Ovis aries: one gene and its partners. The protein of the gene in region 4 purifies or fractionates together with the protein of the main gene of each other region. This does not show direct contact. Links are inferred from orthologs where the notes say so. Each region holds a gene or a part of one and is shown on either strand. Other genes may lie near its edges.

Evidence for each region.
Region 1: the proteins of EIF4G1 (region 4) and EIF4B fractionate together in Homo sapiens (co-fractionation; 4 studies listed by BioGRID, with this or other methods). This does not show direct contact. The link is inferred for Ovis aries from reciprocal best matches to the Homo sapiens genes EIF4G1 and EIF4B.
Region 2: the proteins of EIF4G1 (region 4) and PDCD4 purify together in Homo sapiens (affinity purification with western blotting; 3 studies listed by BioGRID and IntAct, with this or other methods). This does not show direct contact. The link is inferred for Ovis aries from reciprocal best matches to the Homo sapiens genes EIF4G1 and PDCD4.
Region 3: the proteins of EIF4G1 (region 4) and EIF3I purify together in Homo sapiens (affinity purification with mass spectrometry; 5 studies listed by BioGRID and IntAct, counting the BioPlex papers as one, with this or other methods). This does not show direct contact. The link is inferred for Ovis aries from reciprocal best matches to the Homo sapiens genes EIF4G1 and EIF3I.
Region 5: the proteins of EIF4G1 (region 4) and MKNK1 purify together in Homo sapiens (affinity purification with western blotting; 3 studies listed by BioGRID and IntAct, with this or other methods). This does not show direct contact. The link is inferred for Ovis aries from reciprocal best matches to the Homo sapiens genes EIF4G1 and MKNK1.
Region 6: the proteins of EIF4G1 (region 4) and EIF3H purify together in Homo sapiens (affinity purification with mass spectrometry; 4 studies listed by BioGRID). This does not show direct contact. The link is inferred for Ovis aries from reciprocal best matches to the Homo sapiens genes EIF4G1 and EIF3H.
Region 7: the proteins of EIF4G1 (region 4) and EIF3G purify together in Homo sapiens (affinity purification with mass spectrometry; 3 studies listed by BioGRID, with this or other methods). This does not show direct contact. The link is inferred for Ovis aries from reciprocal best matches to the Homo sapiens genes EIF4G1 and EIF3G.

Annotation. Positions count from the first base shown.
Region 1 is NC_056056.1:133,421,503-133,425,819, reverse strand, and holds the start of EIF4B (eukaryotic translation initiation factor 4B), read left to right. Parts: upstream 1-1,517; 5' UTR 1,518-1,719; coding exon 1,720-1,732; intron 1,733-4,317. UniProt on the Homo sapiens protein: Required for the binding of mRNA to ribosomes. Functions in close association with EIF4-F and EIF4-A. Binds near the 5'-terminal cap of mRNA in presence of EIF-4F and ATP.
Region 2 is NC_056075.1:30,964,560-30,968,181, reverse strand, and holds part of PDCD4 (programmed cell death protein 4), read right to left. Parts: intron 2,467-3,622; coding exon 2,164-2,466; intron 610-2,163; coding exon 515-609; intron 1-514. UniProt on the Homo sapiens protein: Inhibits translation initiation and cap-dependent translation. May excert its function by hindering the interaction between EIF4A1 and EIF4G. Inhibits the helicase activity of EIF4A. Modulates the activation of JUN kinase.
Region 3 is NC_056055.1:235,303,137-235,305,860, reverse strand, and holds the end of EIF3I (eukaryotic translation initiation factor 3 subunit I), read left to right. Parts: intron 1-490; coding exon 491-601; intron 602-709; coding exon 710-799; intron 800-1,110; coding exon 1,111-1,184; intron 1,185-1,697; coding exon 1,698-1,790; intron 1,791-1,918; coding exon 1,919-2,000; 3' UTR 2,001-2,161; downstream 2,162-2,724. Other genes in the region: myotubularin-related protein 9-like, read right to left, coding at 2,384-2,517, 2,591-2,724. UniProt on the Homo sapiens protein: Component of the eukaryotic translation initiation factor 3 (eIF-3) complex, which is required for several steps in the initiation of protein synthesis.
Region 4 is NC_056054.1:203,656,348-203,660,761, reverse strand, and holds the start of EIF4G1 (eukaryotic translation initiation factor 4 gamma 1), read left to right. Parts: upstream 1-1,567; 5' UTR 1,568-1,636; intron 1,637-2,456; 5' UTR 2,457-2,513; intron 2,514-2,734; 5' UTR 2,735-2,768; coding exon 2,769-2,828; intron 2,829-3,120; coding exon 3,121-3,207; intron 3,208-4,310; coding exon 4,311-4,414.
Region 5 is NC_056054.1:21,167,960-21,172,146, reverse strand, and holds the start of MKNK1 (MAP kinase-interacting serine/threonine-protein kinase 1), read left to right. Parts: upstream 1-1,319; 5' UTR 1,320-1,486; intron 1,487-4,187. UniProt on the Homo sapiens protein: May play a role in the response to environmental stress and cytokines. Appears to regulate translation by phosphorylating EIF4E, thus increasing the affinity of this protein for the 7-methylguanosine-containing mRNA cap.
Region 6 is NC_056062.1:60,694,489-60,698,110, forward strand, and holds part of EIF3H (eukaryotic translation initiation factor 3 subunit H), read left to right. Parts: intron 1-2,021; coding exon 2,022-2,178; intron 2,179-3,622.
Region 7 is NC_056058.1:12,527,606-12,531,942, reverse strand, and holds the start of EIF3G (eukaryotic translation initiation factor 3 subunit G), read left to right. Parts: upstream 1-1,499; 5' UTR 1,500-1,549; coding exon 1,550-1,569; intron 1,570-1,717; coding exon 1,718-1,764; intron 1,765-2,359; coding exon 2,360-2,443; intron 2,444-2,551; coding exon 2,552-2,640; intron 2,641-2,784; coding exon 2,785-2,844; intron 2,845-4,012; coding exon 4,013-4,117; intron 4,118-4,221; coding exon 4,222-4,337. UniProt on the Homo sapiens protein: RNA-binding component of the eukaryotic translation initiation factor 3 (eIF-3) complex, which is required for several steps in the initiation of protein synthesis.

The DNA of each region.
Region 1 (4,317 bases), on a different chromosome or scaffold from region 4:
TAGAGAAAGCCTACAGGCTGCAAGGAAGACCCAGTGCAGCAAATAATGTTAACACTGTTTAAAAGGAGAAAAGGGCCTATGAAGGCAAAAGTGCTTAGGGTCCATGAAGACATTATGAGGTCCTGGCACCAAGAACCTTTTAACTGATCTTTCTTTTCCATCAGTGCAGGTGTATAACCCACTCTCCATCCAGTAAACTGAGTAATCCTGTTGTTGTCATCACTGTTGTTTAAAGTATGACCTCTATACACTAAGCGCACAATTCTTGAGTGTACAATCTGAGGTACTTAAATATACACTTATGTAACCATCACCCATATCAAGATAGTAAGTAACCCTTTACAAAACTATTTCAAGTCCTCACACTCCCCTGCATAAAATCTTTCCACGCTTTCCCAGTCCACTTGGAATAAAATCCAAACTCCTAAACCTGATTCACAGAGCCTCACATGATTGAACCCCAACATATTTCTCAAACCTCATCTTTTACCGCCCACCCCCCTTCCGGTCACCAAACTGAGACTCAAACTTGCCAACATGTTCCTGTCCTGGAGCATTTGATCTAGTTCCTCAGGGGGTTGGCTCTCTGTAACTCAGATCTCAGTTCACATGTCGCTTCCTCAGAGGCCTTCCCTGACCATGCAATTTAAGTTGCACAAAATCAGTTTTATCAAATTACCTTAATTACCTCTAGAGTGCTTAACATTTCTAATATTTCATTTAATTACTGCTTATTGTCTGTCTTTCCCTCACTGAATTATATAACATGCTTTGGAGTTTTATTCTCCAGTTATACCCAAAATGCCAATAAAAGCGCCTGACACGTGGTAGGAGTGCAAAGCAAATTTTCATTGAATGAACTACTACCTATGGGGTTTCCCTGGTGGCTTATTGGTAAAAGATCGTTCTTCCCATGCAGGAGACGTGGATTCCATCCCTGGATGGGGAAGATCCCTTGGAGAAGGAAATGTCAACCTACTCCAATATTCTTGCCTGGGAAATTCCATGGACAGAGGAGACTGGCGGGCTACAGTCCACCGGGTCTCAAGGACAACCTGGCAACAAGAGGAAGCGCAGATAGCATTAGACGGTGAAATCCTAAGGGCCTGAGTTTGAATTTAGTTTGCAAAACGAAGGATTAAAAGACTTTTAGTAAAAGACCATGGCAAGTAAGTGATGAATGTTACCTTCTTTTCCTTCTAAACATCCCCAATTAAAACCATCCTTAAGCAGAATGGTGGTTTATTTTGCTTTAACAAAAAGCGATTTACAAAGAAACTCAGAATCTTCCCAGGAAACCAATTGGGGCACGCCAATTCTGGATTCCAGCCCGCCTCCAATCGGTGCCAGAGAGGTGGAACTTGACAACGCCGCACCACCCCTTCCGTTTACCGCACAGGCAGGAAGTCTGCGGCTCAGGAGACCCCGCCCCAGGCTGAGACCTGCCCCTTGTCCGCGCGTCGCCCTACGTAAAGCGTGAGGGGTTTCGCGACAGCGCAGGCCCCACCCCTTTGGCCACATGTCGCGCAGGTCTTCCCGTCGGATGCCGCGTCACCTCCTCGCGCTGCTTTACGAACCTAGAGGAGCGCCGCCCCGCCTCCTGTGTCCCTCCTTAATTCCCCGACCCCTCCCAGTTTCGCGTCTCCTAGCCCGACGCGCTCGCTCTAATCACGTGACTGCCTCATCCGGGTCCTTTGCGTTCTCTCTCCCTCTCCCAACATGGCGGCCTCAGGTGAGTGAGCGGCCGAGTGCGGCCAAGGACCAGGCTCCGAAGCGACTCTCCGAGCCTGATCCACTGATTCTTCGGAGTCGGGGGGTGGGCGGCACCTCTTCCCTTCGGATTTTGGGGCTGCGGCAGGCTGGCGGCTGGGCCATGTTAGGTTATTGCCTCGGGATGTTTGGGGGGAGGGGAAGGACCTTCCCCTCCCCCCTCACACCCTTTTCACCCCATCTGCGCGAGGTTGGACTGGGGAGTAATGGTAGACTCTGGCTTGAGTTGGAGTGAGGAGGAGGCGCAGAAAGATCAGCGGGAGATGTAGGCCTTCTCATAGACGTGAAGCAGTGTGCCCGCGTGAAAGCGTGGAGGAAGGAAGGAGGCGGTTGGCGCGCGGACGGGTGCACTCTGAACTAGGTCTCCAAGGCGCGAGGCCGTTGCGGACGGGAGTGGGGGCAGGGAATAAAGGGGGGGCAGTTAGAACCCGAGCGCGAGTCGCTGGAGGGGCGGAGGAAGGTGGCGGTGCGCGTGCGCGGTCGGAGAGCCTAGGGTACTGGAGACTGGCGCGCCTGAAAAGCACGCGCGAGAGTCCAGATGGGAAGGTTTTACTCGCCTGTGTTGCTTTCTCTTTAGGTCCTTCCACTTTTTGCTCTTCCCCTTCTAGAGTGTGATCCGGCCCCTATGTTCTTCCAAGGGTAAATGTATTAGGTTTGGAGGTTGGCGCTGCTAGAGTTAAGACGGGGGTAGGGAATCCGGTGTGATGCGCCCACGTGTTGGAGGAGAGGAAACAGGGTGGAGACCTAGATTTCTTCTGGACTTTTTCTTACTCAGTCAACACAGTTTTACTTGAGTGTGAACTGTATATTTGTCAGGCATGCTTCTGGATATTGGGGATCCAGTGGTGACCAAGATCAGAGCCCTTGACAGCTTCCGTTTTGGTTGAGTTTTGATAGCCGCAGCAGTAGGGTAGGGCCTTTTTCTTTTAGGGTAACTGCACAACTGCTAGGAGTTGCTTTTAGAAGAATACTAGTGGCTGGAGTTGAATTCTTGTTTAGAATGAGAGGAAATATCACTTTCATGTAAGTCTGCCTGCACTTCTGATGGACTTAGTAGAGAGTTGTGCCAACATTTTGTCAACAGTGATTTTAGAATGGGGGATATGATCTCTTTTCCCTGGTGTGAGCCTACATTGTACAAAACATTTGTTGAACGACTTATCTCTGAACACTGATTTCTCACCAAGAATTTCTCTTCTCTCTTACATAGAGATGTATGCCTTTGGAAAATATTGAGGAAATTAACGTGCAGTTGAGCATAATACCTTTCACTAGCGTAGCACTTGACAATTGACCTGGCACTTTTCTGTGTGTGGTCTAATTTGATGTTCTGTGAGATAGGCAGATGTTGGTTATCTCCTGTGTGAGGAATATGAAAATTACTCGTTCAAGGTCACTATCTGCAGATGGCAGAGTAAGGTTGCAATCTTTGAAACTTCTCGTTCTTCTCCCATTATCAACTTGGGACTAACAAGGTTGGTTTATCATCATAAGTTTGGGATGCTGCCCAGGAGCTTCATCTGAAGTATTTTGGCCTGAATTTGCCGTCCTGGTGTCTCAGTGTCATAATTAGTGAAAAGCCTGTTTTCCTTTTCTGTATAACTTGTGTGGAATTTTTTTAGAGGTGAAAGACGCCGATAGCATTGTGTAAATAAAGTCCAGACTAGTAAAACAGATGTGCTTAGTGAGGTCTCTTCTTCCACTCTACCCAATTGGAAGCCCTCATCTCCTTTAATACAGTTACATGAATCTTTTAGCTTGTGTAATACATATAAGGGACACTTATGCTGGGGTACAATGGTACATCTGACAGCCCTTGAGAAATTATCAAATTTCTTTCCCCACTTTGGATCTTTTCCCATTGTATTGATTTGGTATATAATTATATTAATACAGGCCCACTGTGTTAATGGGTCTATAAAATTAATCTATTTTCAATATACTTCTTGATGGCCCCTGAAAAAACATCTTATATTTTCTTTGTGAAGAAACATGATAAAACTTAACAGGCCTTTTACTTTTTTTTTTAATTAGAGGAAAATTGCTTTACAATGTTGCGTTGGTTTCTGCTGTACACAGGTGAAACAGCTATAACTGTACATATATCCACTCCCTTTTACTTTTAAATGAAACCAAAAAATTCTTTGCAATAATACAGTATCCAGTGTGACTAATTACTGAACTTCAAGAACTGGAGGTGTCCCAAAGCTAACTATTGCATCTGTGTCCTTACCTATAGGGGATCAAATGTGTTTGACATGGGTTAGTGGTTTGTGAGACTAGACTGCCTTGGGATTGTTAACAGTGTACCTGTGTGCACACAAGGCCTTTTATTTGCATAACACTTCAGAATGCCATTATATGTGGCATCTTGTTTGATTATTTTTTATGGTAAGATAGTGTCCAATGGTGGTTTTCATAGAGTGCTGACTCCTATAGTTAAAAACGGTTTCACTGGTTGCTATTATATGCAGTTCATGTATTACCTATCTTCATACCCCTTCCTGTACCATATGTTTGTTACTCTGGGAGTAAGATACCCAGATT
Region 2 (3,622 bases), on a different chromosome or scaffold from region 4:
GCAAAAAAAGTCCTGAAGTGTTTGCCTGCAACGTGTGACTGGCTTCATCTAACAACAAACACTTTCAAGTTTATACAATAAAATTAGAGTATTTAGCAAACATTTTACAGTACTTGAATCCTACTGATTTTAAAACATATTTTTTTCATGTTCTCTTAGAAACATTTCCATGTCCAAATATTAAATTTAAAAATCAAGTGAAAATTACATATACATTACTCAGTTAACTTGGTTTTCTAATCCAAAATTAACCTAATAGTCTGAAAGTACTGAATATACATACGATTTAGATATATATACGAATGGATGTAACATGTGTACACACTTATATACAACTCATATACATATTATATAATCATGCAGATAATCACACATATAAATAAAATTATATGTATATGAATAATACAAATATAGAATAGATGATTTGACCAATATATGAGTATGCTACAAACATGAGGTCAAAAGAGTCTGCAAGTCTTCTAAGTACATATCACAAAAAGTATCACCCTCATACCTGGTCATCATCGTAGTTGGGATCTCTCACATCTACCTCCTCCACATCATACACCTGTCCAGGAGTGCCCCAGACACCTTTGCCTCCAGCACCACCTGAAAAAGTTTAGAATTGAGAAAGGAAACAGCATAATGTCCACAGTTCATAAATTTTAATTGAAATCTGAAATAGTTCTAGATGTTCAGGTGTTAATTAAGGAGCAGTTAAAAAACTGTATTTTAATTTTTATGCCAGTTTTTTTTTGCCAGTTGAGAATTATACGGTAAACTTTTTATTCAGATCACTGCTTTTCCAGTAATGATTAGATATATTTATAACCTAGTTCCAAAAAACCAAGTTGAAACAGCTCACAAAGTTAAAACTAAAAAGTCAGATGCTTTAAAATAAAAGTAAAAAACAAAACAAACAAACAAACAGAAAAATAGCTGTAACGGTAACTTCAAGGCAGCTGATAACAACTGGGCTCTGAATTCTGACATTTCTTGGGAACAACAAAAAGAAATACACTGATTCAGTTAAGAGATGACATAGAAAACAACAGAGAAATTATTCAGCAAAGAAGTATGGTGACCACCATCAAATGTTTTAAAGTCAAATTCTCTTTAGATATTCATGTGCGTGTGCTCAGTCGTGTCCGACTGCAACCCTCTAAGCCCACCAGTAACAAATACTTTACAGCCAGAAATATATTACAAATAACTGATTTCTATATAAGCATTAACCGAATTAATCATTTCTATTTTTCTACCAACAAATAGATCAGCAGAAGTTTAACAATTCCAACTTTCAAAGTTGCTTTACTAAATAAATGTCTTGAAATGTTTTTATAAGGCTCAATATGTTGCAATATTTTAAAAGAACTTTATCACCCATGGCGGGGAGCATTATTTACACATTGAGTATAATTCTTACCACCAGAGCAAAAACAAATCTGGTAGTTAGGTTTCATTCTGATCCAGCCCATGGTTGCAGAGTCATTCAATGACAACTTTTGACAAGGTACAAAAACTTTACAAGAATCCTAGGCCATAATTTGATGCTTCCACCATTTAGATGCAAGTGAAATCTCCAAACTGCATCAAAATTCTACCACAGACAGCGGCTAACAAGACCCTTCAAGTCAACAATCATGTAAGTACCTACCCTTGGAGTCACTACTCCAGGCCCTGGAGATACAGCAGTAAAACAATATCAGTACCCAAAATAAACAGAACTAAAAAGAACTTAGAAACAGATCTACAAAATTATTAAAATTCTGACCCTGATATTAAGAGTCAAATCGTATTTATCACGTATTCTTAACAAGACATAATTAATTAGATTCATTAGATAATAGGTATGATGAATTTCTGACCCTACTTCAAGCAGAATTAGAGAATACATGCACAAGTCATAACTGTGAAAATGATTTTGCTGGAAATATGAGACAAAGTTCTGCTTAAGATAGCTAAACCTAAACAAACAAGCAAAAAGGCTCAATTTAAAGAGTGGGGTGATCCTTGAATTATTACTATGTAAAAATACATACAAACCATAAAGCCTTACATTATCATTGCTTAAATTCCTCTCATTCTTAGAACAATAAATTGCAGTACAAGAATCAGAAAGCATCTCTTCCTTTTATTTCTTTGTATAAGATATATACCAACCTTTCTTTGGTAATCCTCGTCCTTTCCCAGATCTAGATCGCCTATCCAGCAACCTTCCCTTTGGACTGGTTGGTGCAGTTACTCCACATCTAAGGCCTTCACTTCCATTATCACTGACGGAATCACCTCTGCCGGAGTCCCGGGATGAGTTTTTCCGCAGCCGCCTTTTCGCCCTAGCATTAATCCTAGCTTCATTAATGGAAGACGCCGAAATCCAATTTCCATTTATCTCATTCTTTATTTCCTCAGTCCCAGCATTTTCTTCATCACCAGAAAAGAGAGAGTCACTTAAATTATCTGGATCTTAAAAACAAAACGAAGGAAAAAAAGAAATCTAAGTAAGCATTTTAACTATTGCTATACCAGCTATAGTCATAAGTTAGATTAGGTTGAATCATATGAAATTATCATTTTTATATGTAGCAGTCACATATTGGCAATTTCATAGGCTCAATCTAATAAATGACAATTAACCAACAGTTAGAACCAGACATGGAAAATGGACTGGCTCAAAATTGGAGGAGGAGTACATCAAAGGTGTATATTGTCACCCTACTTATTTAACATTATGCGAAATGCCAGGCACGAGCTGGAATCAAGACTGCCGGGAGAAATATCAATAACCTCAGATATGCAGATGATGCCACCCTTACGGCAAAAAGCAAGAGGAACTAAAGAGCTGGCTTAAAACTCAACATTCAAAAAAACTAATTTCATGGCATCCAGTCTCATCACTTCATGGCAAATACATGGGAAACAATGGAAACAGTGACACACTTTATCTTCTTGGGTTCCAAAATCACTGTGGACACCGACTACAGCCATAAAATTAAAAGATACTTGCTCCTTCGAAGAAAAGCTTCTTGACAAACCAAGGCAGTGTATTAAAAAGCAGAGACATTGCTGACAAAGGTCCATCTAGTCAAAGCTATGGCTTTTCCAGTGGTCATGTATGGATGTGAGAGTTGGACCATAAGGAAAGCTGAGTGCCGAAGAACTGATGCTTTTGAACTGTGGTGTTGGAGAAGACTCTTGAGAGCCCTTGGACAACAAGCAGGTCAAACCAGTCAATCCTAAAGGAGATCAGTCCTAAATATTCTTGGAAGGACTAGATGCTGAAGCTGAAGCTCCAATACTCTAGCCACCTGATGAGAAGAGCCTACTCACTGGAAAAGACCCTGATGCTGAGGAAGACTGAAGGCAGGAGGAGAAGGGGACAACAGAGGACGAGATGGTTAGATGGCATCACCGACTTGATGGACATGAGTTTGAGTAAACTCCGGGAATTGGTGATGCAAAGGGAAGCCTGGCGGGCTGCAGTCCATCGGGGCTGCAGAGTTGGACACAACTGACTGACTGAGCTGAACTGAACTGAAACAGGATTATTCTTCACAGTATCATGGAAAGTAAACGAAGGCACTGAATGTTAATGAACAATGTTTACAGAAAGTGTGTTATC
Region 3 (2,724 bases), on a different chromosome or scaffold from region 4:
GCTTGGCAGATAGTGTTGCTGCTGCTGCTGTTATTCAGTCACTGAGTTGTGTCCATGTCTTTGCAGCCCTATGGGCTGCAGCATGCCAGGGTCCTCTGTCCTCCACTATCTTCCAGAGTTTGCTCAGATTCATGTCCATGGAGTCAGTGAGGCTGTCTAACCATCTCATATTCTGCTTCTGGCAAATAGTAGCCATTCAGTGTTTTTTGGAAGAAGGACTAAATGGAACTGCTCTACTGTTACATGATGATTAATTAATAGGTGTCACCATAAGTGTGTGTTTTCCTAGGTGGACTAGCAGCGTTTATGAAACCTGCACACTTGGGCCAGATTGGGCTTGGTAGTGGGAGTAAATGTTGATTCAGGGGATACTAAGGCAGACCCCACCTGACCTCCCCCTCCTTCATGGGATGAGAAAGAGTCCAGAATTCTGGCTGAGCCTGGGGTGCTGGGAATGGAGCTGGTCAGAGCCTCCCTCTTCTGTCCGCAGTCTGGGGAGGTACTGGTGAATGTTAAGGAGCACTCCCGGCAGATCAATGACATCCAGTTATCCAGGGATATGACCATGTTCGTCACTGCATCCAAGGACAACACTGCCAAGGTGAGCCTGGGCAAGGAGTCTGGCAGGCCTGCTCCTACCCTCCCGCAGGGCTCTCATCTTCCCCCAAGAAGACTCCTTTTAGAGACATCTCCTCTGCCTTCTCTCTAGCTCTTCGACTCCACAACCCTTGAACACCAGAAGACTTTCCGGACAGAACGACCTGTCAACTCAGCTGCCCTCTCTCCCAACTACGATCATGTGAGGAAACCCAGACAAGCTTCTTGCTAAAGACTCCTTGTTTCCAGGATCTAGCTGTTTGTCTAGCAATTAAGAAAAGAGCTTTGGGGGAAAATAGTGTCAGGCAGAGAGGAGATCTCAGAGCAGGAACAAAGGTGAATGATGGGGAAGCTCTGGGGGCAGGGCAGGAGGTGGCTGAGGGATGTTTGTTCCTTACCCTTAATATCTTCCCAGTCTGATGTAGGAGATACTAAAGGCTTTTAGGGTTGGGGGAAGAAATGGAAAATGGACTTGCCTGCTCTTTGGACCCATCTAGAGTTTCTTCCCTTCAGGTGGTGCTGGGCGGTGGTCAGGAAGCCATGGATGTAACTACCACCTCCACCAGGATTGGCAAGTTCGAGGCCAGGTAAAGGGGGAAGGAGAGCTTCCAAACAGAAACATCATGAGGTGTCTCTCACAATGGCCAGAAACCGGATAACCAAGGAAACTTTCCTTAATTCACTGGCTGTTGGGAGTGCAGCCAGACTGGGGGCCCTCCTGTGACAAGTGTCTGATACAGTAGTTAAGAGCATGAACTCTTGGGCTCACTCTGAAGCCCTGCACATCATTGGAGTTGTCTATGCCCAATCACCCTTGACTGTATAATGGGCACAGTGATACTATACTTACCTCATAACAGTATGCAGATTAAATAAGTTAATAGTTGTGACGCTTTTAAGAGCACTGCCCAGCACATAGCAAGGAAGACATTTGGGTCCAGTCTTCTCCCAACTTCATCTTGTTTTGTTCTCATTCATTTCCCCCTTATCCCAGTTTCCCTGCTTTATAGTTTTGTTTGGGGAATGGTTCCCGTTGACGTGTTTTCGTAGGAGATGGGGACTGAATGAACTGTTGCTTCCCACCCTGCTCTTTCCTCTAGGTTCTTCCACTTGGCCTTTGAAGAAGAGTTTGGAAGAGTCAAGGGTCACTTCGGACCTATCAACAGTGTTGCCTTCCATCCTGATGGCAAGAGGTAGGGCCTGGTGAAGGGGGCTGAGCCAGCCCTGGTTTGCCCACCTCTGCTCCTTTCCCACGTCCTGTCCCCCAGGCCTGCTTCCCAAAGGGCAGGCCTCTGACTGGGCCCTGGCTGTCTCTTTGCAGCTACAGCAGCGGTGGCGAAGATGGTTACGTCCGCATCCACTACTTCGACCCACAGTACTTTGAATTTGAGTTTGAAGCTTAATAAGCCAGACCTGGGAATTCCCTGGCGCTTCCTCTACAGGGGGCACGGGTGATCTGCAATCACCACGCAGCCGCACACACACCCAAGGAAGCCGGACCTCCATCTGAGCCAGGGTCACAGGAGCTTTTGGACTCTATGAAATAAACTAGTTTGGAAATAAATGGTTTCTGGTCAGATATTTGATTGTTTTCCCTTCTCAGTGACACCCCAACCAGCTGATACCAATCATGGATGCCTTTATTATTTGGACCTTCCGCCTATACTTTGGACACTTCACATGTGGATCCAGGCTGGGTTGTAGGCACTCTCTTCCAAGATCCAGAGGTGCTGAGGGGCCTGGAGAGCTTCCAGGAACATCTCAAACACCATCTAAGGACCAGTACTTAGGGTCCAGCCTCAGAGGCTGAATCTGTTGGCTGAGAGCCTTCTGTCTTCTCCTGATCCGTCACTATTTGCCACACTTTCTCCCACGCTACCTCTGAAGGCTCAGGTGGACGGGTCCCGCGCAGAAACAGGCCTGAGGAGGAAGAGGACAGGTAAGGAAGCTGAGCAGAGGCGAGAACTCCGCCAGGGAGGAGGAGGAGGGTCACCTTGCCACAGTCGCAGGCTCTGGGGCTCCGCCGAGGGCCAGATAGCCAGGGGGTTGGGGACGTAGAGTGGGTTCCGGAGCTTTCGTTGCTCTTTTGGCTGACTGAGCCCAGACCACAGGGAGTGTGTTCGAGTT
Region 4 (4,414 bases):
AGGTCCATACCATTTCTGTCCTTTATCGGGCCCATCTTTGCATGAAATGTTCTCTTGGTATCTCTAATTTTCTTGAAGAGATCTCTAGTCTTTTCCATTCTATTGTTTTCCTCAATGCAATTTCTTTGCATTGATCATTGAGGAAGGCTTTCTTATCTCTCCTTGCTATTCTTTGGAACTCTGCATTCAGATGCTTATATCCTTTCTTTTCTCTTTTGCTTTTCACTTCTCTTCTTTTCACAGCTATTTGTAAGGCCTCCTCAGACAGTCACTTTGCTTTTTTGCATTTATTTTCCAATGGGGATAATAATACAATGCATAGTAATACAATACATTTTGTAGGCTATTGTGAAGATTAACTGAAATCAGAAAGGTCATCATTGGTGCAACATGTTTTCTGAGATTATATGTGTTTGAATACAAAGAGTTGGGTGGGAAGGAGAGAGAGAAAATAGCTTTTGCTAGGTACCTAGGCACAGTTTTAAGCACTTTCACAAGAACTAACTTTTTTAAACCTCACAATCCAATAGCGGGAAAGCAGGGTGGGTAAAAGCTCAGAATTGAGGCAGACTGCATAGTTTCAAATACTCCCATTTTACAACAAGTATTAAGTAGGGAGGTAGTAGGTACATCGCTGGGAGAGTAAGCAGAGAAATTTGGATTAAAACCAGGCTGACTCTAAGCAGTTTTGTCTTTAGTATGTCCCTTCAGGCAGTTCAAAATTTTTTGGCTGCCAGGGAGAGGTCTTGGATTTACTTATCCCATCACTATTTGAACTTTCCATGACTGATTTTAGTCCCTCCCTGGGAGTGGCTGATCTTTGTAAAAGACAAATCTAACTCCCTACTTGCTGCTGCTGCTAAGTCGCTTCAGTGTCCGACTCTGTGCGACCCCATAGATGGCAGCCCACCAGGCTCCCCTGTCCCTGGGATTCTCCAGGCAAGAGTACTGGAGTGAGTTGCCATTTCCTTCTCCAATGCATGAAAGTGAAAAGTCAAAGTGAAGTCGCTCAGTCGTGTCTGACTCTTCGCGACCCCATGGACTGCAGCCAACCAGGCTCCTCCGTCCATGGGATTTTTCAGGCAAGAGTACTGAAGTGGGGTGCCATTGCCTTACTCCCTACTTAGAATATTTCAATTCTTTTAGCGTTATCACCCAGTTTAATAGTTCTATATCTAATTTACATTATTTTCAAAGGCTACCTAATTTGTCTTTTTTTCCGTTTTTGTCCATGGTTTACTTGGCGGGACCGAGTCTTTAATGTCAGTATTCTCAACCCTCAGCCAGCACTTCGCCTAGCACTCAGTATGCACTCAATAAATGCTTGCTCAAAGTATGAATGAACCAAAGAATCGCGGAACACAGACGCGGAGACGGGTCGGCCTGGGAGTTCCAAAGTTCGGGAGGGGACAAGAGGCGGGCAGTGGCTGTCACATGATAAGGCGGGGCAAATCCCATGTGCTCCGCGGCGCCGGGCGCTGCTCCGCCCTCTGCGCCGGTCACGTGGGGCTGCCGGCTGCGCCTGCGGAGAAGCGGTGGCCGCCGAGCGGGATCCGTGCGGGGAGCCGGAAATGGTTGTGGACTACGTCTGTGCGGCTGCGTGGGGCTCGGCCGCGCGGACTGAAGGAGACTGAAGGTAAAGCCGCCATGTCCGGGCCCGACCCGGCCCCCCCACCCCCTCCCCCCGCATCCGCCGCCATCCGGGCCGGGATCGGCTACCCTGCGCCGCCGCCCCAGCGCCCTGGCCCCGCGGCCCAAGCCCGGGCCCCGGCCCGCCAGGGCCCGATCCCCGGCCCACGTGTGCCCGGCCTGGCTCGGCCTGGCTGCTGGGTGGGGGTGGGGGAGCGCGGGGCCGGAATATGCGGTCCCCGCAGGCCGGGAGGGCGCCGGGTTTCCCGGCCGCTAAGTGCCACCTCGGCCCGACCCGAGGAGGCCTCGCGGGCGCAGGCACCGCGGCTCCCGGCCCGCCGCCCCCTCCCCCCTTTGCGGCCCGGCCGCCGGGAAGTGACACGTTGTTCTTTGGCACTGGCCGGCGCTGCGCAGGGAGGGCGCAGGGGAGGGAGGCGGCGGCGGCGGGCAGGGAGGAGCCCCCGGCCCCGCCCGCCCTCCGGGCCGACCCTCACTTGCTTCAGACCGGCTCTTCTTCGGCCGCCGCCCGCCTGGCCTTTTACGGCCCGACTGCCGCCTTTCCTGGCCTCCACTGCCGGGCGGCGGCAGGCCTCGCCTCTGGCCCCGCGTGGGTGCCTCCGCTGCTACCCACGGCAGGCGTGCCTCGTGTGCCCCTGGGCCAGGCCCCGAACCCGGTGTCCCCGGGTGGGGGGTGGGGACACCACGGCCGAAGCTGCTAGCTCCGTTTGTGATCCGGGAGCCTGGTGCCAGCGAGACCTGGAATTTCCGGTCTGGTTGGTCTTGGGCCCCGCGGAGCCAGGTTGATACCCCTCACCTCCCAACCCCAGGCCCTCGGATGCCCAGAACCTGTAGGCCGCACCGTGGATTTGTTCTTAACCGAGGGGGTGAGTGAAGGGCTGTTTCAGCAGATCGAGGGGTGGTTGGAGGTGGTGAGGGTTTGACGGAGTGTTGGTGGGGACATAAGCTGGGTCTTTAATGTTCCTTTACCCCCTTGGCGCCTCCCGGGCTCATTGTGGGACCCAGCCCTTGCTTCAACCCCTCCCCCACTCCATTTGCCTTAAGTTTGTGTCCCTTTCCTTTTCTGAGCCTCACTCTTTCCCAACAGGTGCTGGGGGGACCCTGATGTGGCACCAAATGAAATGAACAAAGCTCCACAGCCCACAGGCCCCCCACCTGCCCCATCCCCTGGACTCCCACAGGTAATTAGGGAGGAATTAACAGGGACTGGGGTGGGGGTTGGGGAGACCAGGCAGCCGGGTCAGGAACAGGTTCCAACCTCTGGATTTTCCCACCCCCTTCTGTGTCAGGGCAAAGTGCAGCTTCCTGCTGCCAAATTGAGACAGGGCCCCCAGGCTGTTCCCAGGGGCTGTCTTGGGGAGGGTATATGTGGACTGTTGAGGCTCTTGCCACGGATCTGCTCCCCTTCATCAGCTTGAGTTTCTGCACCACCTGGGTTTCCCCTCTTGCTGAAATCTGGTCTCCCCCCTTCAGCCAGCGTTTCCCCCGGGGCAGACAGCACCGGTGGTGTTCAGTACGCCTCAAGCGACACAAATGAACACGCCTTCTCAGCCCCGCCAGGTGAGGGGCTGTGGGGAGGGGAGTAGGGGGCCTGGGTGGGAGCCATGTAAAGCTTAGGCCAGTTTGGGCCTAGGATGGAAACTCTGGAGGCCCTGTACCTGCCCCAGTTTCCTGACAGTTGCTATGTGTTCTTTCATGCGGCTCTGCACTTTGCACTGTTGATTACTCACGGTGGCTGGCCCCTCGGAGAGTATGTTGTTGGTGGGGATGGCATTGCTAGGGGTTCTGGTGCCTTGAGAACTGGGGGCAGCGCTTTGGGCCCTGCTGCCAACTCCTGCTTTCCTATTTCCTCCTTTTACTAGGAGGTCGCCATTGCTCCGTTCCTCATCCCTTCTTTCTCTTTGGACTGTGGGAAGAGAAACATTCCAGCTGGTTCTTACCTTTCTCTATTCCTAAATTCTTCCTCACTAAATGGGAGCGGATTCTTGTCCTGCCTCCTCATTTTTTTCCCCCTCATCACCTTGGGGATAATTCTCTTCTTTCCTGTCCCCATGTGCTCTCAGGGAGGATTCAGGTCTCTGCAGGTAATACCCCTTTGCTAATCCTGGACTCTCTCCTGGTCTCACCCTTACCCTCCTCCCTAGTCAGGGGCTAGACGCAGGGACTGGGGTTCCTCAGGGTGGGGACTTGTTGGTTGTCCAGGTCCTCAGTCTGAGGCTGACCAGTGCATGTTAGGGGCTAAATCTTGCATAGTGCCTATCTGGGAACTGGGAAAGTTGCATGTTAGCGGTTAGCTCCTCAGGACGTTAGGATGGTGCAGTGCATGCTGGGGAGTATGCTGCTGAAAAAGGCTTTACTTAGGCATGATGCATCTGGGTGTTAGGAAGCCTCTGCTAAAGGATAGCGTGGAGGAGGTGACATGAGTATGCATGGCAGGGAGGGAGTAAATATACCGAGTGCAAAGTGTGTACCTGAGTTTGGAGGGCACACGTGAGTTCAAGAGGCCACTTAACCATCAGTTGGTCAAGTGAGTCTTGGCAGTGTTGGTCCCATGTTCCAAAGCCCCTGGTACTTCTCTCCAGACTAGAGACATAGTGGAATGGCCATTTTGCTGTCCACTTCCTCCCCTGCCCAGTGCCAACTGCCTTCCTCCCTCCTGACAGCACTTCTACCCTAGCCGGGCCCAGCCCCCGAGCAGTGCAGCCTCCCGAGTGCAGAGTGCAGCCCCTGCCCGCCCTGGCCCAGCTGCCCATGTCTACCCTGCTGG
Region 5 (4,187 bases), about 180 Mb from region 4:
GTCAGTCCGTAACCAAGTTCTCACATCTGGATGGCTGAGCTCTGACCTTGTGTTATCTCTGTGTGTTGGTCTCCCACCGCACCCCGGGCTGACCCGTCAGTACCTAAGGTCACCACTGGGTCAGCTCCATCACCTGATCTCCCCGTCCTCAGTGCACAAAGTCACATTCAGTAAAGGGTATTAATCATGATATCAAACAAATGAAGGACTAGGTTTGAATTCCTTCTCCATACACTAGAACATGCAAATGTTCGCTTATAGAGGATCTGGGCAGAGTTGAGACTCAGATATTGGGGAAAAAAGAGAGTGGCAGCTTTAGACTGGGGCAAAAATAGGTATCCAACCAAAAAAAAAGAATCTTTAGTTCATTTTTAAGAATCCAGTGTGTTCTTATGCCATCCAGCAAGCAGACATTCCAGACACAAGAGGAGCCCAGTGGGGTATCTGTGCCATGTAAATGCCTCCTGCCCCTCTCCCCACTTGCTCCCCTCCAGCACCCCTCCAGAGTAATTTCTGCAGCCCATCTGTCTGCCTTGGCCCTCCTACTGCAGAAGTCCCCCACCCTCCCTCCCTCCCAGGGAAGAGCCTGCCTACTGGTCCCTGGGCCTGGGACCCACAGAGTGCATTCTGTGCTTCTGCAGGGAAAAGAACCCAGGTGGAAAAGTAGGGGATGCAAAACAACTCTTGAGGGGTTTGGATCTGATTAGAAGAAAGGAAGGAAAAAAGATGTTCCAAAGTGGGAATAGCTGGAACAAAAATGTGGGTGGGTGGGGGCAAAGGGTGGGAATGGGATGACTTGGCCCAGGAGTGAGGAGTATCTGCCCAGCCTGAGCCAAAGCCCCAGAGCTGGTGGGTGAGGTGAAAGTCTGATCTGAGCACTCTTGGGAGCCAGTCCTTTGAGTGCTGAGGTAATGGTTCCCAAGGCGTTCGTTCATTCATTCAGCAAATGGGTATTAAGTGCCTGCTGTGTGCCAGGCACTCTGCCAGGAGCTGAGGGTATGGGAGTGGATGGCAGATCTGACCTCTAATTGAGCTCAGCGACAAGGGAAACACAGAAGATTCCAGGAGGGCAAGGAAACCACCATTATCCATCTCCAGACAGAGCTAGATAAAATGGGTTTGTCCCCATTTTACAGTCAAGGAAACTGAGGCTGCCTCCTTGACCCTAAGAGAACCAGCTCTTCGTCCTTTGGTCCTGGGAAGCTGGGGGAGCGATATGGACTTTCCGGAAAGGCGAAGGTATTGGGAGGGGGGGTCCTCTCTCCCCGCCCCTTCCCCGCCCCTTGGCCGCAGCGTGGCGGGGCCGGGAGGGCCTGGGCGGAGCTGGCGTCGCCTTGGGGGCGGAGGGCGACAGCGGGTTCGGCGGGGCAGGCAGGCGGACACCCGAGACCTGCACGGCCGGGAACCGGCGGGAGGAGAGGACCACGCGCTGGGGATGTGACTCCGCGACCAGAGAGGACTCGCGCTAACCCACCCGGCGGACCCCGTGAGTGAGATCCCCCGGCGCCCCGCCGCGCACACAGCCCAGCCTCTCTTCCACTTTCATTTCTTCGGCTGTCCCGGCCTGGCACCATCCCCAGACGACCTGCGCCCGGAGCAGGCTGCCCACAGCCCTGGTTCCGGGGTCCGGGACTCGGAGCTGGAAAGTCAGGGTGGGGTGGGGGCGCGTCGGTTGAAGAGGGCGTGTCTTCGCAGGCGGAAATTTCAGGCCTGCTCTTCTGGGTCCTACTACCCATCTGTCCCGGCAGCTGGGCTGGGGAGATGGCGGCGTCAGGTGTTCTGGGAGAGGCTGAGGAGTGGTCGTGGGTGGCCGAGCGCCACGGGGAGGAGCTCGGAGTCCTCGCCTCGACTTTTCTCTTGGATTTCTGCTCTCAGCGCTCCCGCCCACCCCCACCTCGCTAATACACATCGCTCTACTCTAGGCTGGATTCTGGTTTCCAACTGGGGCCAGGATCCTGGGTCAGGACTGGAGGAGCGGCAGGTGTGGCCCTGGCAGGGGCTGAGTGTCAGAAGCAGGCAGGGCTCCTCTGTGGCCTTTATTTGGGAAACCCAGATGCCCACCCAGGGAGTGAGCCATCACTGGCCACTCTAGGAATGAAAGGACATCCAGAGTTAGGAAACGGGGCCCAAGAGGGGGAATAGCCGTGGTTCCAGGGAGGGGACAGAGATTCTGTGAGATAAGAGACTCACTGACTCGATGGACACGAGTCTGAGTGAACTCCGGGAGTTGGTGATGGACAGGGAGGCCTGGCTATTGCGATTCAGGGGGTCGCAAAGAGTCGGACACGACTGAGCGACTGAACTGAACTGAACTGAAAGGGATGAGAGTGGGAAGTGAAAACAGACAAGTGGCCTGGATACAAGGGCGTCTATCCATGTCCCCTCCCTCACAAGCTTTCATTTCCCCCGGGAAAGACCCAGGCATTGACATTCTGCAGCAAGAAGGTGGGACCCTAGCTCCCTGGTTAGGACACCCAAGTTGCTGTGGAGTGTGGGGGAGGCACAGTGTGTCGGGGGAACAGCAATTAAGTTGGTCTAGTGGATGGGAAGATGCTCCCCTTTTCCTTCACTCCCCTCCTTTCTCCTTATCTCTACCAGACCAGCGGCACGCAGCTAGGGCAGGAAAATGGCCCTTGACCAGTTGTCATGCCCCACCTTATCCCAGTGTCCCATTGTGCCACTGGAGATCCCCTGCTTGTGACTTGCTGTGTGAACCCAGGCTCCTAAAGTCCTCTTATGGGGCCTCAGTTTCCTCATCCATTCAAGAAGTGAGTTGGGCCAGTTGATTTCTCAGGGCTATTTCAACTCAATGATTCTTGCTTTTGAGCTTTCCACAAAGCCTGAGCATCCAGTATGTACCAGGCCTGACCTAGACTGGGAGGTGAAGCCGGTGGAGGACAAAATGACCAAAGAGTAGTCTCCACCCAAGGACAAAGAGATCAGGGTGCAGTAGAGGAGGCTATGGGAGGAGGCAGTGTTCAACTTGAGGGCGGGAGTTAAGCCCAGGGACCAGTGTAAGAAAACATACAGAAGCAGGAGTTGGGGAGCTGTTCGTGGATCAGGAAGAAGCCCAGAGTGGTGGCTCTAGGGAAGTGGGGCAAGAAAGCTAGGATGAGATGTTGAATGCGAGAGTAGGTTTGTTGGTAGCTGTCAGTGAGGGGGGATGTGCAAAGGTGGAGAGCCCAGGGACCCAACTAATTGTAGTGTGATTTTGGAAGCTCCTGCCCTAAGAATAAGGTGAATTTCTTTTTTTTTTTCTTTTTAAAAAAATTTTCTTGGCCATGTCACATAATGTGTAAGATCGTAGTTCCCTGACCAGAGATCAAACCCACGCCCCTTGCATTGAAAGCGCAGAGTCCTAACCACTGGATGGGTTCCCCAAGGAACCCACAGGAAAAAGTTCCCCAAGCAGAATTTAGATGCAGGGGCATATGTGAAGTATGGAAATATCTAGGGTCAGGAAGCTTGGGTCCCACACTGAGGACTTATTTGGGTGAGAAGTTGAGGGGTAGCAGATGGATGACCTGCCACATCTTAGAGGATTTTTTCAAGACAAGATCCTGTGGGGAGACCTGCCCCTACTCTCCAAACTCCTCTCATTTTACTTGACTTCTGCCCTTCTGGCTGTGTGTTATGTGCACAGAGAGGAATCCTTGTTTCAAACTTCTCCACTAGCTTGACTTGTTGTCTGACGTGACAACCCACATGTGCCTTTGGTTACACCCAGTTGTCACCTTGTTCCCACCCTCCTTTCCCCAAACCTGACCCAGTATTACTCGAGATGTGAGAAAGGAAAATACTCCAGTGTGAGCTCTGAGGTCAAGGTGTGTTTGTGTCAAGGCCTTTGTGGCTCTTTTTAAGGCTTAGTCTGGGTTAGCATTCAGGACTCAAATTGACCAAGGTCAAGGCCAGGTCAGAGTTCAGCCTGGAGCCAAAGCTGAGTGCTTAGCCTACTCTCAGGCTTAGTGCTTGGTCTGGGGTCAGGATCACAGTTCATGTGGCTAAATTCCAGTGGGTACCTGGGTCCCTGCATTTCCCAAGAGCACAAGCACTCACGGGAAAATGAGGTGATTACCCTGGAAGTCCCAGGAGCTTGGCCTATGAGTGACCCAGGAAACTGCATGGGCCAAATCCCTCCCTGCTGCAGGGGTCACCCAGCAATGATGGATGACACTAGAACCCAGGTC
Region 6 (3,622 bases), on a different chromosome or scaffold from region 4:
ATCCTGTGTGAAATATTAACTGTACATTTTTCTCATTTTTAATAGTCTTAAGTAATGCTGTGAAATGGTTCCATTTTGCAAGTCAGAAATCTAGGACTTGGGAAGATTAAATAGCTTTCCCAAGGTCACAGCTAATAAATGCTAGAGCTGGAAACCATTCTTCCTCTTCCTGCATGACCCCTAGAGCCTGTTTTTGTGCCTTTCAAGAAATGGAGAGATCTTTTATACAGAAATGTGTGCGGTTTATGCACGTTCTCCACTTCACAGTGTTGAAGGTCTGCCGGTCTAGTTGGTGTCCTGCAGTAAGCTCTTCCCTGCTGACTGCTTGCTGTTCTTGAAGGTCTGGATCTTAAACTGGTGTAAAGTCTTTCTGAATCCATTCATCACAGAGTCTTTGCTTCATGTCTGTTCCTAACTCATGGTTTTAATAATTAAGCTGCTGATATGAGAATAATCTTCTTGTTAAAATATGCCCATAAGCTTTGGAGTTTAAATCTTGGTTCTGCCATTTCCTGGATGTATGATCTTTAGCCATTTACTCAACTTTTCTCTGCTTCAGCTTTCTTATTTGTAAAATGAGTATAATATAATGCTTTTTCCTGAGGTACTTATGAGGATTCCATGATTGATAATACCAGTATAATAATTAGAATACTGCCTGGCACATGATGTTCAATAATTGTAACCTGTATTATTAACTGGTTACTGATGATTTATTTCTATCAATAATATACTTGTTTTAAATTAAACACTAATCAGTAAAACTCTAATTCCCATTTTGTTCTTAGACTTATTTTTCCCTCTGATAGCTTTCCATTGTATTTTAGACTATATTGCCCTTTAGTCTTTGGGCCACGTCCTTGTACTGAATAATACAGACTGCTTCTGTTAATAATACTATGTGCCAAGCACTGTTCAAAGCCCATTAATATATTAACAGTCTCATGTTGTAGGAATTATTATTAATCATGACTGTTACTGTGAACTTTTAAATTAATTGCCTATTCAGTCATGCAGTGTACCTCTTCATTTTAATGGCAATATTAAAGGAGAGAGTAAATAGAAGAGCTGGCTATTCCATTAGAGGTTATTTGGTATATCCTTATTGTTGAGAAAAATTAGGTAGTGTTGGTGACTGGGCTGTCATTATGTTCTCTGTTACCAAGCAAGTTCTTGGATACGTGTTCCTGTTGTTGCTTCCTCTGATTAATGAGATGCTCTGTGCAGGAACCATCTTGAGGTGTTGAGAGTTTGTCAGAGGGTTCTGTTTTTAGATGTTCAGATAATTGAGATCTTTATCTCTGTGTCTTACTGATATTTTTATCATTTGTGGCAGGATATTGCTGTTAACAAAGGTTAGCAGGGTCACTTTCTCTGTAATAGTCTCAGGTTGAAGTGGTAATGTTAGATTCAACTGAAGGAATTCTTGGATGCCAGACCTTTAAGCATCTTTGACTTAAAGGTTGTGAGTGTTCTACATGGACACTTTTTAGAATATAATTTTATTTACTTATTTTTAATCTATTTTTGGCTGTGCTGGGTCTTTGTTGCTGCTCGGACTTTGCTCTGGTTGCGGTGAGTGGGGGTTGCTCTCTGGTGCTGTGGGGGGCGTCTCATTGCAGTGGCTCCTTTTGTCGCAGGGTACAGGCTTTAGGGCACTCAGGCTTCAGTAGCTGTGGCTCTCCAGCCTAGTTGCTCCATGGCATGTGGGATCTTTCTGGATCAGGGATTGAACCTGGATCTCCTGCATTGGCAGGCAGATTCTTCACCACTGAACCACCAGGGAAGCCCACATGGACATTTCTGACAAGTCTTCAGATTCCAAGAGTTTCAGGTGTACATTTAGACTATGTAAGATTTTTTTTTTTTTTTTATGTAAGGGTAAAGGAAATGGTTTGTAAGAAATTTGGTCAGTTCTGTCATATAACTATGGGTTCATCAGTATAGTTTTAGTTTTTCTTTGAAATAAAGGAAGTGTAAACTGTAAGAGTGATATTTAAACTTTTATTTTTTTCTTTTAGGTGGTATTAAAGATTATCAAACATTACCAGGAAGAAGGACAAGGAACTGAGGTGGTTCAAGGAGTGCTTTTGGGCCTTGTTGTAGAAGATCGACTTGAGATTACCAACTGCTTTCCTTTCCCTCAGCACACTGAAGATGATGCTGACTTTGATGAAGGTAAGGGTATTCACACAAATGGTTATTGATCCAGTGTTCGCCGTAACCTTTGATAATTGTTACCGGGAGTTCATCAGAGTAACCTAGTTCTCCATCTCTTGAAAAAGATTCTACAGATTCTCTGAAATGAAGTTGTATTATCAAAACTTGATTAGTTTGGCTTTTAGTTATTCGGGATTTGTGATTCTGATAATTTGGGTAGGAGCTGTGCTGATGTTAACTTTCTCATTGTGAAAGCAGCTTACCAATTACAGTGTGAAGGACAGAAATCGTTGCTATGTCCCACAACCATTTCCTTCCGTAGTTTTTTGACTTACTGTTTAAGAAGAGATGAGTTGTCTACTTGAGAAAGAAGATACTCCTTGAGCATTTCAGAATCTTTGTGCTGCAGGGGTAATTGCTTTGTTAGCGAAGGCCAATAGTAAGATCCTACCAAAGGCCAAGGTCAGCATCCTAAAGGATTTTTAAAAAAATCTAGTTGAAAATTAGGTTGTCCGAATTCTCACATTCTTGTCAGCACTTACTTGTTGTCTTGTTGATGATGGCCATTCCGACAGGTGTGAGGCAGTCTCTCATTGTGGCTTTGATGTACATTTTCCTAATATTGGTGATTGAGCACCTCTTCATATGCTTGTTGGCTGCTTTTATGTCTTCTTTAGAAGGTGAAATGTCTTCTCAAGTCTTTTGCTAATTTCTTAGGGCTTTGTTGAAGGAGTTCTTTATATATTCTTCATATTTACTCCTTTTTGTATATATAGTTTGCAGGTATTATCTTTCACACTTTTGGTGTTTCTTTTGTTGCACAGAAGCTTTAATACAATCCAGCTTGTCTATTTTTGCTTTTGTTTCCTGTGCTTATGGTGTAATCTCCAAGAAATCATTGCCAAGACCAGTGTTATGAAGGTTCCAGTATTACGAAGTTTCTTCCATATATTTTCTTCTAGGAATTACATGCTAGTGCTGTACTCTTTTGATTATTGTTGCTTTTATAGTATGTTTTGGAATCAAGAAGTGTGAGGTCTCCAACTTTGGTTTTCTTTCTCAACATTATTTTGGCTATTTAGGGTCCTTTGATATTCCATAAGAATTTAGATAGATTTTTTTCCTATTTCTGCAAGAAAAAGAAAAAAAGAAAGAAATTTCATTGGTACTTTGCTAGGGATTGCATTGAACCTGTAGATCACATTGGGTGTTATGGACAGTGTAACGGTATTCAATCTTCCAGTTCAGGAATACGAGATGGATGTCCTTTCCTTTTGTTTTGTCTTTCAGCAATGTTTTGTAATTTCCAGCATATAAGTGTTTTGCTGCATTGTTCCTAAGTATATTATTCTTTTTGATGCTATTGTAAATGTGATTGTTTTTTAAATTCCTTTCATTCATTTTATTGATCACTTTTAACTTTGGTAAAATGTTATCTCATTTGACTTCATGTCCTCATAGT
Region 7 (4,337 bases), on a different chromosome or scaffold from region 4:
AGGAATTCCCAACCACCCTCTTTATTTACTTATTTTCCCAGCCTCCTTCCTGGTCTGCTGATTTATTCCTTTCCACCCTATCCTCTACAGGCTTCCAGAATAATCTTTCTCACAAGAAAATCTGGTCACATTGGGTCACCATTCAGAACATGTCAGCGCCTCACTCACACCCCACAGCCTGCAGGATAAAGAGCCTGTGCTGGGAATTCCCTGGTGGTCCAGTGGCTAAAACTCTGTGCTCAAGATACAGGGTGGCTGGGTTTGATCCTTGGTCAGGGAACTAGTTCCCACGTGCCACAACTAAGACTCTATGCAGCCAAATAAATAAAAATAAATATTTTTAAAAATGTTATATATGTTATATATATATACATGTATATATATGTAATATATATATAAGAGACTATGATCTTTAGTCTAGTTTTTAAAGTCCTTTATAATCTGGTTCCTGTCGGTTCCAAATACCCATGAATTGAGCACTTATCAAGTGTAGACACCCTGAGGGTGCTGGGGACCCAGAAGTGAACAAAGCAGGCAAATGTGTTTCTGCAGAAGTCTGCAGCAGTTTTTACCATTTTTTTCATTATCATCCCTCTAAAGGAGAAAAATGGAATTATCTTCCATTTAAATCAGTGTTAATCTAATTACATTTAATTTCTCCCTAACAATAGAAATTAAATGTTTAGAAATAAGATTTTGTCTGGGAGGGTTGGCTTTGGAGGCCACAAGTCATTGTCATCTCCAAGTTGGTTTTTTTTTTGTTTGTTTCTTTTTTGCCACAGAACAATTAATTTTGGTCCCCTTGGGAGTCATATCACTCCCACTGAGAATGCATACAGTAGAGGGAACGCTGGACAATAAGCAATAAATTAAAGAAAATGGAAAAGATTATATCAGGGAGCCAAGAATGTTACTAGGAATTCCCCGGTGGTCCAGTGGTTAAGACTCTGCACTTCCACTGCAGCGCCCAGTTCTGATACCTGGTTAGGGAATTAAGATTCTGCAAGCCTCACAGTGCGGGGGGGGGAGTTACTCAAGGAGGGAGAATAGTTAGGGGGTGACTTGATATCTTGATCATTTGAATCAGAAAAGTTATTTCCAGGCAAGGAAGACCAGTTTTGGTTTCTTCAGCTGAAAAATGGAAACGATAATTTCCTCCTCACAGTTCCTGCAAACAGTCAGAGCTATATAATTGAGCTTTATTGTCATTATTTTTAATTTTTAAAAAAAGTAAAAGAAAAGGTCCGGTGGTTAAGATTCAGTGATCCCAATGCAGGCCCTCCTGGTCCAGGAACTAGATCCTACATGCCGCAACTAAGACCCAGCGCAGCCAAATAAATAAATAAATAAATAAGATTTTCAGGTAAATGAGCCGAGCCTCTAATAGTAAGATACCAGGGCCCAGCCTCTCACATAGGCGGCGCTTCTACCTCCGTCCGTAGGGGGCGCTGTGGAGTGCTACGGCTGCTCTAGGCAGCGGAGCCGGAAGTCTCTTTCACCTCTTACTTCCGGTCTTTGGCCCAGGCTTGGGCTGCGTGGAGATTTTGCGATGCCGACCGGAGACTTTGAGTGAGTCAGGGGTCGTGGAGGGGGTTTGGTAAGCAGACCGGGGATGGGGGGCGGTCCTAGGAGTTAATATAGAGCCTGGGTGCGTTGAGGCCGCGGGAGCTGGGCCTCGCCTCACTCATCCCTCCTTTTGACAAACTTGTCCCCGCAGTTCGAAGCCCAGTTGGGCGGACCAGGTGGAAGAGGAAGGAGAGGACGGTGAGTCTACCTTGTCGCCTCGGATCACCGCAGCCCGGCCTCCCCCCGCCGCCCCAGGCCGTCACTGCTGCCTGCTCTGATCCTCCACCCTGGCACCGCCGTCAGACCCTGCATCTCCCCTCACAGCCAGCCCCTGCCCCGCGCCACTCTCATCTGGGCCAGCCTATCTCCAACTCCATACGTTCACCAGCCAGCCCATCTTCTGCCGTGCCACCGCCCAAGTCCTTGATGCCAGCACTTCTGCTTCCCTGCTCCTGGCAGGAAATTGTTTAACAGCCACACTCCTGCCTTTGTATTAATACTATTGCCCGGATGCCTGTGGCCCTCCCCTTCCCTCAGGCCCTCAGGCCCTCAGGCCCTCAGGCCAAGGATCCCCTTCCCCTTCTCATTGCTGGAAGTTACTACCGGCCAGCTCCGTGTCCCTGAATGGCTATCCCAAGACACTTCCTGGCCAGTCCTCTGCCCTTGGTCCCACCTTTCTCAGCTCCTGGTGCAGGCATCATCCCAAAGGTCCCTTGATTTCAGCTTGGGAGTTCCTGTCGCTGCCCACCCCTACCCCCCAGCTGACCCCTGCTCCCTCCACTCCCTGTCACAGACAAATGTGTCACCAGCGAGCTCCTCAAGGGGATCCCCCTGGCCACTGGGGATACCAGTCCAGAGCCTGAGCTATTGCCGGGAGGTGAGTGCCCGACTTCACTCCAGCCCTGGGCCGTCTCTCTCCCCAGCCTCCTTCCTTCTGGTCCCTATTACCCAGGGCTCAGTTCCTTTGTCTCTTCCTCTCTCCCAGCTCCACTGCCACCTCCCAAGGAGGTCATCAATGGAAACATCAAAACAGTGACGGAGTATAAGATAGATGAGGATGGCAAGAAGTTCAAGGTGAGGCTGGGGAAGAGGTGGGAGCCCTTTGCTTGAGGGGCACTTGGACTAGGGAGAGAGTGGTGTGTTGGATGTCTTGATGAGGAAGATCTGCTAGGAACCTTGAGGAGCAGAAGGCCCAAACGTTTCCCCTCCTATCCACAGATCGTCCGCACCTTCAGAATTGAGACCCGGAAGGCCTCAAAGGCTGTGGCAAGGAGGAAGGTAAGACCCTTCTCCCCCTTCCTTGGGGGCTCCTCCAGGGCTGACTCAAAGAAAAAATAGGAGTTCTTTTCCCTATTGCCTTCATTTTTAGAAGTGGGGTTTAACTGTTTGTTAAACAATTTCCTGGTGGCTTCCCTGGTGGCTCAGTGGTAAAGAATCTTCCTGCAATGCAGGAGATGCTGGTTCATCCCTGGGTCAGGACGGTACCCTGGAGAAGGGGATGATTACCCACTCCAGTGTTCTTGCCTGGAGAATTCCATGGACAGAGGAGCCTGGTGGGCTATAGTCCATAGGGTCGCAAAAAGTTAGACATGATTGAGAGACTGATGCTTTTTTGTTTCTTTCTAATTGTTTGGTTGCACCACACAGCATGTGGGATCTTAGTTCCCCGAGCAAGGCTTGAAACCACACCTTGTGCATTGAGAGTGCGGAGTCTTAACCACTGGGCCACCGGGGAAGTCCCCTGGGTGTACCTCTTCTGTTGGAGCAGAACTGAGGCCTGTGTGCAGTCCGTGGGGGCCCTGAAAAGTCCAGCAGGTGCAGGAGTGGGAGCGGAGGGGTTGGTTCTTACTTCTCTCGGCTTGTCGCCTGGGAGGAACAGAGCCAAAGCCCTCCTGTGAGGTGGTCGTAGCAGCAGAAGTGATGGCAGTAAATACGTTTTGCACAGTTACCTACATACTCGGTGTTAGACTCAGGTGCTTCGTGGGAAGTATTTTCTCATTCATTCCCCTAGCATTCCAGGGAGGTGTGGGGAGCATTGTGGTCCCTTATAGGGGAGGATGCCAAGGTACAGGTTGTTTAAGGAGCTCAAGGCCCCTGGAAATCTGGGTGATCCTGCACACCCCTGAGTATCACTCGGTGGAAGCTGGTCAGCCCCTGCCAGGGGTTGTTGGCTCTGGACCTGTTTACCCCTGAGCCTCAGTTTTCTCATCTGTAACATGAGGCTGAGAGCTGCCCCTACTCTTGGAGCTGGCATGGAGCTGGGGCCTGGCATGCCCTCAGGGAATAGCAACTGTCATCATCGCTTCTCCAAGGAGCATTTGAGGGCGGTGAATAGGGTTCAAGACTCACTCACCCTCAAGGTGGCTCTTGTTAAGTCTAGGGTGCAAATGGAGGGGGTCCCACTTGTCCTTGCCCTGACCTGTCCCCCATCCTGCCTTGAGCTCAGAACTGGAAGAAGTTTGGGAACTCAGAATTTGACCCACCGGGGCCCAACGTAGCCACCACCACAGTCAGCGATGATGTATCCATGACATTCATCACCAGCAAAGAGGTAAGTGTGGTGGCTGGCAGGGGGAGCCAGTGGCCAGGGTGTTACTGGAGGCAGCAGGGGAGCAGCTGAACTACCGTCTGAACTGCCACCACCTGCCCTGCCAGGATCTGAACTGCCAGGAAGAGGAGGACCCAATGAACAAGCTCAAGGGCCAGAAGATAGTGTCCTGCCGAATCTGCAAGGGTGACCACTGGACCACCCGCTGCCCCTACAAGGACAC